Linked DNA regions of Rhinolophus ferrumequinum. The protein of the gene in region 2 purifies or fractionates together with the protein of the main gene of each other region. This does not show direct contact. Links are inferred from orthologs where the notes say so. Each region holds a gene or a part of one and is shown on either strand. Other genes may lie near its edges.

Region 1 (4,966 bases), on a different chromosome or scaffold from region 2:
TGGCCCCACCAGCAGCTGCTGCTTGAAAGAACACCCACAGACGCATCACATTTTAGTGTGAGCATTTACTTCCCCCACACCTCGTCTCTGGAAATGAATGCCAGGAAATTCATCAGGAAACAGCACTATGGAGAAGATGATGGCTTTGCCTTCACAAAATAACTGTTGGAGCTTCCTGGGAAAAAACATGTGCTCAAGGGGCTGGGGAGATGCTGAGTGGGCAGCAGGAGGGTAGCCAGCCAGCTCGCCGCCAGACCAGCAGCTTCTGGAGCAGGTGCCCAGGTTGCCGCCCAGGTCCGTCACACCGATTGGGGCAGGGCATGCACCTCCTGCAGGCACTCCTCATAGGCCTCCTGGTACTCCTCGTGCGGCTTGACCATTATCACGCAGGTGGGGCGCTTGGAGCCTGCGGCTGCACCCAGGTCCTGCAAAAGACAGAAGGGCTGTTTGCCAGGAAGTCACAAACCCACCAGTCTAATCTGGCTCACAGATGTGTGCTATTTGGTCATCATTATATTTAAAAACATTTCAAATTGGTTGCCATCAATTAAACTCAGCAAACTTTCAAGTGGTCCAGCAACACTGGGTTTACATTCCCGTGTGGCAGCTGTGAAAAGGCTCTAGCCCAGCAGGGGCTGTCCCCTTCGGCAAGGCCTATGCTTTCCAGGTTCCTGCCATCCCCCCAGTCCCTGTGCTCTAGACCTGGCTCCTGATGTGTGAGGTTCCCAGAACACCCCCTCTGAGCACTGCACCCACCTAACAGGACTAGCATGGCCACAGCCAAGAAGCCGCCCAGGCCCGTCTTAGCTCTAGAGCCTGTACTCTTTCCCACTGGCCTGCTGCCGCAGCTCCTATCCCAGCCCCCTCCAGTGGGGATTAAGGTCAGGCTCATGGGCTCCTTACCGTCTTTGAAGGGATATAGATGTAGGGCAAATTCCGGTCCTCACACATAACTGGGAGATGGCAGTATACCTCAACGGGCAACGTGTCTCCTGCCAAAACCATGATCCTGAAACGGGAGAAACACTGTCATTTCTAGCTTGCTCATTCCCTCTTCAGTCAAAAGTACCACCTGTGGACTGGGCCTTGGGGGGTACAGACATGGGTAAGATGGCCCCTGCCCTCAAGGAGCCCAGTTATTAACGTGGGTCACCCAACCTCTGAAAGTGCGTGCAAATTTGTATTTGGTGACTGTGTTCCTCTGGAGAGATGATCTCTATTTTCTTTTTTATATTTTATTTATTTATTTATTTATTTTTGGAGGAGAAATAATATTTATTTTATTATTATCTATTTTCTTTTTATTTTGTTATTGTGTAGCAAAGGATGAAAAGGGAGAAGACCTAAGGTTAGAGCCACAGAGAGAAAGGCACAATGTTGAATAAGATGTCACAGAACAGTCTCTGTCCCATTAAGTGAAAGTGCCACTGGCACAGCCCCAGGGCAAGTATGCAATCAAGGGTTTTCTTTCAGCATCAGCTACCAAATCCTGGCCCCATTGCCTGGGAGAGGACCTGTGAAAGTGCTAAAAGAAGAATCAGGAGGCCACACTTGAACAGAAAGCTGAATGATGATGAATGTCTGCCAGGCAGCCCTGTGGGTGGGGGTGGGGGTGGGAGTGCAGGGGGCAGAGAAAGCATTTAAGGAGAATCAGAATGGCACCAGACACACAGAGGCTGGCTGATGGCAGCCTGGGATGGCTCTGGAATCCAGGATGGAGACGGGCAGACGAGGCTAGAGAGATTGGCAGGGACCACACACAAAGGCCTTGAGTGCCAGGCTAAGAAGCATGCACTGAGTCCCCAAATTGACAGGGCTTGCCAGATTCCTCAGCTAGGGCTTCTAGCTGGCAAGGTGTTGGCACTCTGGGGCAAGGGCCTCCAGAGCCCTGAAGACAGAAGGCAGAGTCTGTTCTCCAGGGGTGAGATGCAAGCACCACAAACACCAGGAAAGAGCTCTTGGTTCAAACTACTGGGTCTACACTCTCCTAGTTTGCCTTTTGCCTTGTGGGCTCTCCTCTGCAGGCTCCTCTGAGTAGCCTGGTGCTCCTCACACCTGGTCCTTGGCTGCCCTCTCAGTACCTTCTGACCTCATCTGTGGCCGTGGCATCAAGTGCCATCTATGTGCCGACAACTCCCAAATCTATTCTCTCCATCCTGGCCCTCTTCTAAGCTTGCAGCCCATATAACCACCTGACTGTTTGACAGTTTTGCTGGGGAGAGGGGTCACAAGTCTAAGAGGGACCTTGAAAACTTGCCTAAAACCAAACGCGATCTTCCTACACAAAGCCCGTCCCCTCCACTGCTCACTGTTTCAATGAGTGGGCCCTCTGTCTGTTCAGCTAGAACCCATACCTCCTCACTCCATGTCTGAAAATCCTCTCAGATCCATCCACTTTAGTTCTCTCCATCTTCACCATACCCAACCTAATCAAAATCATCCTTCACCTCCTCTAGACTACAGTAACCTCCTATTTCAATTTCCCCATATACTCTTGCACCTTTGATCCTTTCCAAAGTTGCCAGAAAAATCTTCTTAAGTTATAAACATAATTATGTCACTTCCTGGCTTTAACCCTCATTGTTGCCCCAAAGTTCTGAGTACAAAAACTTACGGCTTACAAAGCTCCATGAAAAGGTGGCACTCTGTCCACCCCTCCCCTCTCCTGCCCTGGGACCTATTCTGGCAGAACCCTTCCCCCCGGCACTAATCCCATATATTCAGATCTCAGCTACCCCCACCTATGTCAGGCTCCATTGAGCATCAAGTCCCCCCAGCAATATTTATTTATTGAGCACCTACAAGGTACCAGACACTTCTGGGGATATAGCAGGGAGAGGCTTTATCCTCTTCTCTCAAAGAGCCTATTGTCTGGCCTGACTGGGAGATGGAATAAGAATACAAATGAGTTTCAGATTCTGATAAATGCCAGAAAAGATGTAGGGTAAGGAAATCATTCTCACAAAAGCACTTTTTCTTCATAGTTAACCTATTACAATTTTTTACTTTGATTAAAATCATAGTGTCTGAAAGAGTAGAAACTCAATAAACAGTCGCTGAATGAAGAATGAAGCCGGGTCTACCCGAAGAGTTCGCTTATCCTATTCGCTTCCCCGGAATTCACTTTCCCCGCGGTGTCCCTTTGGGCTGGGTAAGTTAGGTGATGTATAGGTTAGCTGTGTTGAAGAGAATTTACTGACTGCTTGATTATCTTCTAATAGAGTCAGAGCACTTACCCCGATTTTCACCGAGCACCTACTAAATAGTAGGGATACCTTCATTACCGCTTGGAAATGCAAAATCAAGCGGGAGGGGGTTCTTACCCTTTCTCGCCTTTGTTGACAAATTTCTGAACCTCCTTCACCCCGCGCCGAATCTGCTTCTGTTTGACGGCTGCAATGACAGAAGAGTCAGTCCGCGGGCCTCGGCCCGCCACCCGCGCCCCCACGCGCCACCGCGCCGCCCGCCGTACCTTTCTTGATGCATTTGTAGAGCTTCCGCGTGAGGCGGCGAGAAGCCAGGGGCTGCGCGATGGGGTTCAGATTCACCAGCAGCTCGTGGTAAGTACGATCCCCGGAGGACGCCTCCGGCTGAGCCTCCTGCTCATCTGGATCTCGCTTTATTTTGGTCATCGCAGCGGTCGCGGCTACCGACTCCCCAGTAAGCGATGCACGCGGCCCAAGTCTTAGAAATCACTTCCCGGTCACCAGCTCTGGGGAAGCGTGTCAAACAGCACAACCAATTAGGAAGTGAGGGCTCGGACTCAGACCAATTGTTCCTGCTCAGCTTAGGGGCGGGGCTCGGGCTGTCATCCGCGGGCCCCGAAGGAACCGGAGACGTGGGCGGGGCCTGGAGGGAGGTGGGTCCTGGAGGGAGGCGGGATGCTGGGGAGGGACCCGGGCACCAGCTGGGGCTAGTCGGAGTTTGGCGTCACCTGTACGCTCTGGGAGCGGGAGGAGGCGGCGGTACCTGCGGGGCGTGACCACGTCTAAAGGGACAAATCGCTGCGTCTGCGAGCTGGGTGGGAGAATGCGAGGTCCGCCCAGTGCGATTCCAAACCGCGGTAGAATCTGCCCCCTTAGATGGGCAGTGCGCAACCTGAGCTGGTCCTGGTTGGTGTACCCCAGGTGCCAAGGTTCAGGTAAAGCCTGACACTGCTAATCGTTTCCTGCTTTCTTGCACCATTTCTCACACTCTGCTTTCACTTTCCTGCCGAGGGATGGATGGCCACTCAGGGAGCGCCTCGGTCTGGGCCGCTTTTCCCCAGGGAGCCCGAAGATCTCTCCCTCTTCCCGCAGGGATCTGCTCAAATGTTACTCATGGGAGGGGGTCCCTGATGACCACCTTATCTAAAATTGCAGTCCCCGCCGACTTCCCTCCCCCACCCCCTAACCTTTTTCCTCGTGGTTCCCACCGCTGCCTGGCCTCATAACACCGAGGGCATAGTGGTGACAGCTAGCGGGGTGAGGAGGAAAACTGCGTGGACACTGGGAACCGCACTCCGGAGTGGCGTGGGGACAGCTCTGAGTAGGCCCCCATTTTGCAGTTATTGTAGAAGATTAGTGGACAGTGACGCTGGGGAGGAGAGTAGGCCTAGACTGGGGTGGCTCTTGGTATCTCCAACATATTTCTTCCACTGTGTCTAGGAACACTGGCTGGATATTAATTAGATAATTGCTACAAATTAATTGCCTTTGATTATTCAGTGGAAGGCCTGCCATTTCTGTGATGGTGGAACAGCCAGAAAGTGGAACTTCAGAAGTCTGCAAGGTGGCCGTGGGATCACAGGTCAGTTAAGCCAACTTAAAATTTTACCTTTTAACCCTGCAAGCAGTCATTAAATAAACTACTAATAGGTTTTTAAATTTGGTATTTTAATAAGAAAAATCAGGATGCGATTCATCCTAACCTTAGACCCCAACTAATTTCACAAATATAAACACATATCAATTGAACAATGAAAATA
Region 2 (4,966 bases):
ACTTGCAATCAAGTTCCCGGGAACCTTCACAATCCCATCTCCCACCACTTCTCACACACAGGTTTTTATCTAGCATAGAAGCGTATAGAGCTTTCCATTTACGATACTTCCATTGACTAGAATGTCTTCAATGTAGAGAAATCTCATTTCTCTTTCCGTGTTTCCCCGAAAATAAGACCTAGTTGGAACACCAGCTCTAATGCATCTTTTGGAGCAGAAATTAATATAAGACCCAGTATCATATTATATTATACCCGGTCTTATTTTAACATAAGACTGGGTCTTATGTTAATTTTTGCTCCAAAAGATACATTAGAGCTGATGGTCCGGTCTTATTTTCGGGGAAACACGGTTATAGGTTCATCTTAAATATTGCCACCTCTGAAGCCACCCCCTAACCAACAAAAGAAGCATTACTGACTTCCTTTCCTATCTCCCACAGCACTTTTTTTCAAATTGCTTATTATGAAGGCCTTGAAATCATGACATTAGCTCTGGTAAGTATTATCATTCCTCCTGTTACAGCCGGAAATGGGCAAAGGCCATTTCACCACTTGGCTCAGGAACCCATCCGATTTGCAAGTGAACTCCTTCCTACCATTGTTGGCTTAAGAATCGCTCCCTCTGTCCCAAATCATTCCCATCAGCACACCAACGTTCTGCACCGCATGCTTAACCATTCATCGATGCCTCATTTCTCCCCTTAAAATACCTTGGAAAAGTGATTAACACATTCTGTCTCTACTCCCTTATTTCTCATTCAGTCTTTACCCCTAAATTGTCTTCCATCACCACCACTCCTTTACAAGGTCACCAAAAATCTCCAGCTGTAAAGTCCAGTGGACACCTTTCTGTCATATTATTCAACTTCTCAGCAACATTTGGCATGCCTCCCCACTCACTTCCTCAGAAAACTTCCATTGTTTTGCATGTATTATACTACTGTGGTATTCCACCGTTTTGTCGTCATGGCTTTAAATATGAACTTCACTGAAAAAAAGACTTAAAAGACGTAACACTCAAATGCAGAGTTTGAATACTGTTTGAATTCTAATTCAAACAAACCAACTGTTAAAAGACACCATTGAGACCACCAGAAAAATATGAATACAGACCAAGTATTAGGTGATATTAAGGAATTAGGATTAATATTTAGTAAGGTTGATAACGAATGGTGGTTATATAAAGAGTATTTTATCAATTAGAAATGCATAGTAAAGAATTTTCAGGTAAAGTAGCACGATGACTGAGATCTGCTTTAAAACTATCAGGTTAAAAAATGTTAGATAAAACAAGATTAGCAAATATTAGAAACTGTTAAGTTTGGTGATGAGTATATCGCATTCATGATATTATTCTCTACTTTTTCCCAAATTGAACATGTCTATAATAAAAAGTTAGTTTTAACGATAATCTGATGATGCTGAAATGTACATCTCCAGCCTAGAACTGTCCTGCAAACCCTACATTCATCAAACTACTGCTTGCCTGACATCTCCAATTGGCTGTCAGAGAAATCTCAAATTAACTGTCCAAATTAAACATTCTTATTGATCTCTAGCCCCCATCTCAGTAAACACTGAGTAAACAGCACCACAATCAACCCAGCTGATGGCTCTTTGCCTAGCCACTTCCGTATCTATTTGTAAGCCTGACCAGGGTGACTTCAAAATACTCAATCCAGACAACCATGGTCATATCATGGACCCATGCAACATCTTTCCAACTACTTCCACTCTCCTCTGCTTTTGCTCTTGAACCCAGTTCAATTCTTCCGCCACAGAGCAAAACTTATTAGAATGTTAACCTGCACATGCCATTTCTCTGCTTCAAGTTCTTCAACAGCTTCTTCAGTACTTAGAATTAAAAACTTTAACATGGCTACAGGGTCCTACAAGGGTGGGGTTCTCCTAATACTTTCTCAGTGCCTTGCTTGTTCCCTCATGGTAATTTTCACCAACTCTATTTATTGATATGTTTACTTATATTTTTCATCCCTCTCACTAGAATGTAGGGCAAGGATCATGTTTACTGCTGTTCACCTCTGTTCTGTACCCCACACAACACACTCACATACTACTTGTAAACATTTAATGTGAGTAAGGAACATCCTACACACTTAAATCCTTAAGTCTTCACCCACCATATAAGTTTCATATTTAAAAGACACGGGAGGGGGTGGGGGGGGGAAGGTCAGGGGAGGAAGTCTTATGAAACTTAACCAGAGTATACAACAATACTAAGTGATAATGTTTTGCTGATTTCACGAACACATGCTCCCAACAAGGATTCTAAGAATTAACAAAATTGTCAGGAGCCAATTTGGAAGCACAGAATCCTTTAATCCTCAATTCACCTGCTTCAAAAACACAAGCACACGTTAAAACTTCATGGGGGGGAAAAAGTCAGATCTGACACAAAACTCAGTTACAACCACAAGGGACACGCCAAACTAAGTAGCTAGAGAAATAATCCAATATCCTCAGGTTTTCTAGAGTCTAACTGAAAATGATACGATGTATATACACATAGGATCTTTCAGACTACCAAATTTTAGGGAAGAGCGAGCGGACTATTAATCAGGCTCAGATTCACAGCAAGATTTGCAGTCAACAGAGAGAAATGGGCGGTTCGAGCTGCTAGTCAACACGTGCGCTGTGAGCTTCGGGGACCTCTCCTCACCCCCAGGCCCACACGAGCACCCTCTCGGCCCCCAGGCTCCGGCTCCCCGCGCGAGTTACACAAGCCCTCTCCCCGCATCTTCGGGACCTGCAGGCACCCGACCTGTCCGATTCTGAATCCGAGTCCGAGATCTCCAAGAAGCCTGGGGACTGCGCCAGCTGTGAAGCGCCCGTGCCGGTGACGCAGTTCCCTCCAGGTGGCGGTTCTGGCCCCGACTGCGGCGCGGAGCTCTCGCCGATCGCGGTGCCGAGCACGAGTTCAGGCGGCTGCTCCTTGGCTAGCGGAGTCTCCGCGGCCTGCCCAGCGTCTGGAGTCCCCTCCTCCGACTGTAGTGGCGGCGGTGGCTCTGGGACAGGAACGGAGCCCGGTGACTGCACCGCCTGACCTTGGCCAACCCCAAAGCCGGTGACATTGAATTTCAGAGTCTCCAGCTGAGCAGCGGCGGCCTCCACTACTTCCATGGCGTCGAGACAGAGTCTCACGTTCTGGGCCTCGGCCAGGCTCGCGGCTCGCTGCGCGAATGCAGCAGCCTCGGCAGTGGAGGTAACGGTACCTGGATCCCACTTCCCGCGTTTCTCCGGGAACTACACGCGGGGCGGCCTGGAGACACGCCCCCACCGCTTACTCAGAGGTACTTCCGGGAGAGCGTGTAACGTGACGTGACGCGACTGCGCTCCCTGGGGGCGGGGCGGGCCGTAGAACCTTTGAAAACCAGACCTCCTAACCCCGCCCTTCTTCCCCGCGTCACCGGGGCGGTGCGGCTCCCACCGTCAAGTCAGATGCGTGGAATCGCCAATTGCTGGATCGGGGACAATTCTATTCCAAACGAATATCCTAAGGGGTTGTAGGACCGGGGGAGATGACTATGCGAGCCTCTGCGTATCAGAAACTTGAGCCTGGAGGTCTTGAACAAACATGTCCTGTAAACTTAATTAAAGTGAAGTGAAGTGAAACCGCTTGAAAGGTAGCGAACACGTTAACCATTTATCTCAAAAAAATTTACAACTACTCCATTTTTTACCCCCTCTAAAGCACTCTCGAAGAGAGCGGTAATAATGATGGACAACGTTGCTGCTGCGTGATGGCCTGTGTTGTAGTTGACACTGCTCCTTAGAAAGGGTGGGAAAGGACTAAATGTACTCACGTAACCTGGAAAACCATTTTTCTAGATCATAAGGCAAACAAGCAAAAAGTTCTTAGGGTTGAGGTAGGGATCCGAAGTTTATAGTTCCCGATTAGAACTTCAATTTGATGCATCAGCCCCTCCAGTAATAATAAATAATCGCTGTTACTATTTGTTAAGAATATGTGCCAAGGACGATGCTAAAGATTTTATCAGTCACAGCCCTCTGGAGGGGGATTGGTTCCAGGACCACCTCAAACCCCCACCGCAACCCCTCCTCCTAGGTACCAAATTCAGGATGCCGGAGTCTCTTACATAAAATGGCATAATATTTGCATATAACCTACTCACGTCCTCCAGTATATATATATTACTTATAATTCCTCATACAATGTGAATGCTGTGTAAACGTTTGTTATACTACATTGTTTAGGGAATAAGGACAAGAAAAAAATTCTGTAGGTGTTCAGCACAGATGCAACCATCATACGCCTAACTCTATAGTACACATCAGCAACAACGTAACATTTTTAAAAATATTTTTTATCGGAGATTGGTTGAATCCACGGATGTGGAACCCACAGATACAGAGGGCACCCTGTTTTCAATGAGAATTTGTTGTGTGCCTTCCACAGGGGTAGATCTTGACAGAAATTCAATACAAGAATGATAGTCTCTGGTTTTGCAGAGGCGCTTGCAATCTAATTGAAGCAAAAAAGCCAAGGCACAGAAGATAAGTAGAAAGATACTTGAAATGTGGAACACAAGATGCAAGTTCAGCAGTAGTAGGAACTGAAGTAAGACTTGTGGGGCTATATCCAAAGATATATCCAAAGACTTGTGGGGCTAAATCCCAAAGAGAAGCAGGGATTTAAACTTGAGCTACTGCTCACTAATGCAATGACAGACCTCCGTGTTCCCAGCTAACAGATCTGTGGTCAAATCTCAGCTCTACCGTTTTCTTGTTGGTGTAACTGTGACCTTGGGCAGGTAACCCCACATACCTAAATCTCATTTTCCTTATCTGTAAAGTGGAAAACATACTATCTCATTTAGGGCATGTGAGCATTAATTAAGGTTTTATACAAGAGAATGACCCCTGTCATACACATAATAAACGTGCACAAATACTTGATAAATACGTAGAACAATGCATGAACT

What was found. Proteins that work in one complex are often made in the same cells at the same time.
Region 1: the proteins of NAF1 (region 2) and NHP2 purify together in Homo sapiens (affinity purification with western blotting; 3 studies listed by BioGRID and IntAct, with this or other methods). This does not show direct contact. The link is inferred for Rhinolophus ferrumequinum from reciprocal best matches to the Homo sapiens genes NAF1 and NHP2.

Annotation. Positions count from the first base shown.
Region 1 is NC_046307.1:4,933,770-4,938,735, reverse strand, and holds NHP2 (H/ACA ribonucleoprotein complex subunit 2), read right to left. Parts: upstream 3,724-4,966; 5' UTR 3,633-3,723; coding exon 3,473-3,632; intron 3,394-3,472; coding exon 3,324-3,393; intron 1,530-3,323; exon of another isoform or gene 1,402-1,529; intron 1,010-1,401; coding exon 904-1,009; intron 426-903; coding exon 300-425; 3' UTR 51-299; downstream 1-50. UniProt on the Homo sapiens protein: Required for ribosome biogenesis and telomere maintenance. Part of the H/ACA small nucleolar ribonucleoprotein (H/ACA snoRNP) complex, which catalyzes pseudouridylation of rRNA.
Region 2 is NC_046301.1:53,286,242-53,291,207, reverse strand, and holds the start of NAF1 (H/ACA ribonucleoprotein complex non-core subunit NAF1), read right to left. Parts: upstream 3,318-4,966; 5' UTR 3,144-3,317; coding exon 2,785-3,143; intron 1-2,784. UniProt on the Homo sapiens protein: RNA-binding protein required for the maturation of box H/ACA snoRNPs complex and ribosome biogenesis.